Linked DNA regions of Saccharomyces cerevisiae S288C. The protein of the gene in region 1 binds, or shares a complex with, the protein of each later gene. Each region holds a gene or a part of one and is shown on either strand. Other genes may lie near its edges. The genes, in order: TAE1 and RPS25A. A codon is read from its position in the direction of its gene.

Evidence for each region.
Region 2: the proteins of TAE1 (region 1) and RPS25A are in contact, whole or in part, in a crystal structure (PDB 7D8D), measured with the Saccharomyces cerevisiae proteins. Residues at the interface, in NP_009820.1 of Saccharomyces cerevisiae: Trp18 (codon at 1,480), Val28 (codon at 1,450), Leu29 (codon at 1,447), Gly30 (codon at 1,444), Tyr32 (codon at 1,438), Val38 (codon at 1,420), Trp140 (codon at 1,114), Asn172 (codon at 1,018), Pro175 (codon at 1,009), Asp180 (codon at 994), Asp182 (codon at 988), Asp185 (codon at 979), Ser187 (codon at 973), Glu218 (codon at 880), Leu219 (codon at 877), Tyr220 (codon at 874), Pro221 (codon at 871); in NP_011541.1 of Saccharomyces cerevisiae: Pro2 (codon at 1,112), Pro3 (codon at 1,109), Lys4 (codon at 1,106), Gln5 (codon at 1,103), Gln6 (codon at 1,100), Leu7 (codon at 1,097).

What each region holds. Positions count from the first base shown.
Region 1 is NC_001134.8:734,000-737,251, forward strand, and holds TAE1 (N-terminal protein methyltransferase), read right to left. Parts: upstream 1,532-3,252; coding exon 833-1,531; downstream 1-832. Other genes in the region: GTPase-activating protein RGD1, read right to left, coding at 1-640; MIC12 (Mic12p), read right to left, coding at 1,721-2,041; glycine hydroxymethyltransferase SHM1, read left to right, coding at 2,265-3,252. UniProt on the Saccharomyces cerevisiae protein: Alpha-N-methyltransferase that methylates the N-terminus of target proteins containing the N-terminal motif [Ala/Pro/Ser]-Pro-Lys when the initiator Met is cleaved.
Region 2 is NC_001139.9:533,344-536,315, forward strand, and holds RPS25A (40S ribosomal protein eS25 RPS25A), read right to left. Parts: upstream 1,116-2,972; coding exon 789-1,115; downstream 1-788. Other genes in the region: YGR026W (uncharacterized protein), read left to right, coding at 1-478; YGR027W-A (gag protein), read left to right, coding at 2,714-2,972. UniProt on the Saccharomyces cerevisiae protein: Component of the ribosome, a large ribonucleoprotein complex responsible for the synthesis of proteins in the cell.

The DNA.
Region 1 (3,252 bases):
CCAGATCGGCGTTATCGATTTTTCTTAACAATTCTTCTTCTTGTTCCTTCGTAGTTTTGGAACCTCTCAAGGTCAGCTTTGTTTTTGTTGGGTCAGTCATCCTCAATTTGTCCCAATCTTGGCACAACGAATTGTAACGAGATTGCGCCTTTTCTGCGCTGTGTATGGCATCAGAAACATCCTTTTCCAGCCTTTTGCTGTTCTCCTTGACAGACTTTCTTAATTTTGTCATTGTTAATAAAAGACTACTAATCTCGGAGTACATTTTCTGCAAGGCGGTGATATAACTCTGCTTTACTTGAGCCATCTTGCCATCGAATCCCAAAACTTCGTGAATCATCTTTTTTAAGGATGAATTTGTGGAACCCTGAATGTTGAAAAAGTGCTTATATTGCTTGGAGAGCTCCTGAACGTGCTCTTCTTCGAAGGCGTATTTCTTTCTAATAAATTTCATAAACTCTTCACAAGTCAACAACGACTGCTTTAAACGGCTCAACAAAGCGTTAATTGCCACATCGGAATTTAGCACCTTCTTGATCTCTGGCGTGCTAAAAAGGTGCGCCAAATCGTCGGTGCCACCATCGTGCGACGACTTCGCACTTACTGTGGCACTAGCTGGTTTCTTCGCAGTCTCTTCCATCTTGTCTATATCACTTCTCTTTTAATCTTCCGAGATTGTATGTTTTTACTTTACATACTATTTTGTTCACATTCTTTATTTTCTGGGTTCTTTTTCCATATATATCGAAAAAAAAGTCTATATAATGGCACAAATGGTGAATGCCAGCACAAGAAAAGGGGCGTATCTATATAAATCTATGCATCCTTGATCCTAGTTTGGCATGGGCTTGAGTGCGTACATCCTCACTGGGTACAATTCTCTTGGTAAGCCACGTTGTCTTTCACTGGCGATGAGCTTTAGGCCAGCTTCTTCGAAGATTTGCCTGAACTTAGCATCTGACCTTGTGACCGAAGAATCCGTTTCGTCGAAATCATCGGTATCTGTAGGTGTGTTATTTTCTTTGACCACGATTGTCCCATTAGGTTGCAAACCAACAATACATCTTTTCAGGAATGCGACGAGTTCTGCATCTGGCAGGTGTCCCACGCACCATTGGCACCAGATCAGCCAGTACTTGCCGGCATCGGGGGTCCAGTCCTGCATCCCTACTTCATATATTTGTCCAATTTGGCCTTTGTCTTTCAGCTCAGCCAATTCAACGTGCATTTGCTCGATAAAAGGCTTTACCGGTTCTACAAGGTCTATCTTAGCGGCGTGCTTGTGAAGCATGGTCTTGCTTACACGTCCAATCCCCGCACCAATGTCTACAGCGTACTTCACGTTGTTCTCCTGAGGCAGCATCCTCGACTTCAGTTTACGCAGGAAGTTATTGGATCCCAGGACATCCATTGTGGGTACTACTGTACCTTCTCCGTATCCACCTAGAACACCATCCACAGTGGCGTCCACATCCGTCCAATAGTCGATGGCATCTTCGTATTTGATATGGGAATCTGCAGGCACGTCCATCGTTGTTGTTTATGTATTCTTTCTTGGAGATGCTCTTGACACCGATGCACATTACCAGAGTGAAAAGTACTGATTAATAATTAAATTTTTCTTTTGATATTTTTTCTGAATATAAAGTTCTACACAGAGTCGTTACAATAGGTTATATACATGAGGATGTTCGTTACAGTAGGAGAAATAGAAAGCTCGCTAATTCTTACCCCAGGAGTAGATCCAATCGACAGAGTTTCTTATCTGTTCATTCCAAATATCTTTTATGCTCTCCCCCATGGTCCTGCTCCATGCAGTGCCATCATCCGTCACAACTAGCTTGCGGTTCCTGGTCTCCCCAGGTACCACTTCTTTTCTATCCACCAGGTCCTGTACCTGATGATCTTGTTTCAACCATGTAGCATCGTGATCGTAGAAGTAGCCATTGTTACTGTATCGGTACAGGTAAAAAACAGAACCGATTACTCCCACAGAGAGAGTCCACTTCACAGATCTTGCTAACGGACCCAATTTCGACATGATTCTCTCCGTTATCTGCTGGTTCTTAGTCCACTGTCTGTTCTGTCCCCCTTCTGTCCAAGAGATAGAATATAAAAAAGACTCATTATTTTTTTTTAGGTACTTCGCTTATTGGTGGTCAATGAGAAAAAAAATACTAAAAGCCATCGCCTCTTGGAGAAGAGCAAACTATCAAAAATCATCAAGCCGACATTTCCACATCGAGTCTCATAGTCTTTCAATCATGTTTCCCAGAGCTTCTGCATTGGCCAAATGTATGGCAACTGTTCATCGTCGTGGGCTACTCACCAGTGGTGCACAATCGCTAGTCTCCAAACCAGTCTCGGAGGGAGATCCAGAGATGTTTGACATCTTGCAACAAGAACGTCACAGACAAAAACACTCTATCACCCTTATCCCATCAGAAAACTTCACCTCGAAGGCCGTTATGGATTTGCTAGGTTCTGAGCTCCAAAACAAGTATTCTGAAGGTTATCCAGGTGAAAGATACTACGGAGGTAACGAAATCATCGATAAGTCCGAATCCTTGTGTCAAGCAAGAGCTCTGGAACTGTACGGATTAGACCCTGCCAAGTGGGGAGTTAATGTTCAACCATTAAGCGGGGCACCTGCCAATTTGTATGTTTACTCCGCTATCATGAACGTTGGTGAAAGATTAATGGGATTGGATTTGCCAGATGGTGGTCACTTGTCTCACGGGTACCAACTTAAGTCAGGAACGCCAATTTCTTTCATTTCCAAATACTTCCAAAGTATGCCATACCATGTCGACCACACTACGGGGCTAATCGATTACGATAACTTGCAAGTATTGGCCAAGGCATTCAGACCAAAGGTGATCGTGGCCGGTACTTCCGCGTACTCGAGATTAATAGACTACGCTAGATTCAAGGAAATTTCCCAAGGATGCGGCGCATATTTGATGAGTGATATGGCACACATATCCGGTTTGGTGGCAGCCAATGTTGTCCCATCTCCATTTGAACATTCCGATATAGTTACCACAACCACTCACAAGTCCTTGAGAGGCCCAAGAGGTGCTATGATTTTCTTCAGAAAGGGTATCAAGTCTGTCACCAAAAAGGGCAAGGAAATCCCATATGAGTTAGAAAAGAAAATCAACTTCTCAGTTTTCCCAGGACATCAAGGTGGTCCTCACAACCATACTATCGGTGCAATGGCAGTGGCATTAAAGCAAGCGATGTCTCCAG
Region 2 (2,972 bases), on another chromosome or scaffold:
CCTTTTGTCCTCTGAGAACTTTCATACCCTTTTGATTGCCTGTTTATGGTTCTTTGGTGGTGGTAAGTCTTTTTACAAGATTTTGCCTTACATGATTTTAAGTTATCTACACCTAACTAAAATGAACTACGAATTGAATGCTAACAAAGAAGAAAAGATCCCTTTAACACCCAAAGACAGAAAAATGCTACACTTACTTGCGTACTCTGAATTACTTGTTATCTTAGCGCTAACACTAGACACTATATTGTTTAAGACGGGTACATCCGGATTTATGCTCGTCATTTATGTTGGTATTTATTGGTTGAGGTTGAACTTCTCTCCATACGCACAAGTGGCTGTTTTGGAGTTACTTGTCAAGTTTGAAAAATACGTCCCCAAAAAATATAGAGACAAATGGCAGGTTATAAAGAACTTTATTTATATGAAAATGAAGGAGCACGAAAAGAGAACAGAAGAAGTTGCCAGATACGCGTAAGAAATTCTCTAACTTAAGATGACCAGATGTCATGTTCGTTTACTTATTTTCCTCTCCTCTTACCTTTTTTGGCCACTAACGCTCGTACAGAAATGGACGGCATACATACAATTTAATCAATTCTCTTAAATACCGTTTTATACCTCATTTCTGACTTTTCAGCCGTTAATGTTCCTTTTTTTTTTAGACTATTGTATGTATCACTTCCTGAATGATGTCTTCCATAACACAAACGTGACGTGCAAATAAACATACATAAAAATATTATTGAAAATACAGATTATTTAAAATTATATAACCCGTTCCCTGTTTATTCAGAAGCAGTAGCTCTGGTGTAGATAGCTTGCTTGGAGTGCTTGGAGATTGGCTTGATGATACCTTCCTTTTCCAAGTGTCTCAAAGCAATTCTAGCTAAAGAACCACCAATCTTTAATCTGTCGACCAAAACAGAGACAGAAACGTATCTGTAAGTTGGAACTTCCTTCAAGATTCTGTCGTACTTCTCTTGGTCTAAAATGACAGCGTGTTGAGCTCTGTCTTTCATGGACTTTTTGGACCACTTCTTCTTAGACTTCTTACCACCAGCAAGGGCAGCAGCGGCTTTGGCAGCTTTAGATAATTGTTGCTTTGGAGGCATGATTTATTAAATGTTCTATGATAAAGTAAAAAGTAAAAACATACTTGTTAGTAAAAAACCGAACTCTAGTAGAATTTGGGATAAAGACTATTTGCTAATGACTTGAATTGTAGATTGAATTTAACTGTAAATCACCACTAAGTACGTAGTTTCCTTCTCTCAAAGTACCATGGGTAGCTAGATCTGTGCTATGGAGCATATAACAGAGACATGGATATTCATCCCATTAAGGTAGAACAGGCTTTTATGACATATTAAATCCTGGATTGGCCAGTCACTATTTCATCTTATCCGCCTAATATTGGTTTCAAATTTATAGATACATACACTAAAACTAACAGGGCTTGACGGTTTTCGATAACAAAGAATACGATTTCAATATTCAACTGAGCAATCTTAATAGTATTAAATGCTTCGTGAACTTTAAGAGATACTTCGTGAAGTTGTTCTGTCGCACAATTCTTCCTGTAGAAGGCGTCCTTCGTTTTTTTGTCTTCGCGCGTTACAGGGTAAATGAACCTCTTTATGGGTGAATGGGTTACACAAATGCACGGATGCATATATAAAATATAGAATTTTGCTTTATATTATTTTGAGCGGGCTAGAATCCACTCAGTGTACAAAGTACTATTCATTATATTGAACTGAAGAGGCAAGAACTATTTAGCTCAATCAACCACCTTAATAAAGTATTTGGAGTGATATATCGGCTTGTTTTAGTTTAATTCTTGTGGATATTTAGATATCAAGGTTGTTGGAATAAAAATCCACTATCGTCTATCAACTAATAGTTATATTATCAATATATTATCATATACGGTGTTAAGATGATGACATAAGTTATGAGAAGCTGTCATCGAAGTTAGAGGAAGCTGAAGTGCAAGGATTGATAATGTAATAGGATAATGAAACATATAAAACGGAATGAGGAATAATCGTAATATTAGTATGTAGAAATATAGATTCCATTTTGAGGATTCCTATATCCTTGAGGAGAACTTCTAGTATATTCTGTATACCTAATATTATAGCCTTTATCAACAATGGAATCCCAACAATTATCTCAACATTCCCCCATTTTTCAAAGGTAATTTTTGGAATTCCTTGCAAAGCTGTAATTAGGTATACAAAATACACTAGATACTCTACTCGACGATATAGTAATCCTCATAAGGGAATCGGTATTTCTAATATTACGTTATTTTTATTTTCTTTTACTGTTTTCTATGTTGTAGTTCATAATTCCATAACATTATTAATCCTAGTGCTTCAGCTTCCATTGAATCTGATGACTTTTTCTCTGTTGGAATAAAAATCCACTATCGTCTATCAACTAATAGTTATATTATCAATATATTATCATATACGGTGTTAAGATGATGACATAAGTTATGAGAAGCTGTCATCGAAGTTAGAGGAAGCTGAAACGCAAGGATTGATAATGTAATAGGATCAATGAATATAAACATATAAAACGGAATGAGGAATAATCGTAATATTAGTATGTAGAAATATAGATTCCATTTTGAGGATTCCTATATCCTCGAGGAGAACTTCTAGTATATTCTGTATACCTAATATTATAGCCTTTATCAACAATGGAATCCCAACAATTATCTCAACATTCACATATTTCTCATGGTAGCGCCTGTGCTTCGGTTACTTCTAAGGAAGTCCACACAAATCAAGATCCGTTAGACGTTTCAGCTTCCAAAACAGAAGAATGTGAGAAGGCTTCCACTAAGGCTAACTCTCAACAGACAACAACACCTGCTTCATCAGCTGTTCCAGAGAACCCCCATCATGCCTCTCCTCAAACTGCTCAGTCACATTCACCACAGAATGGGCCGTACCCAC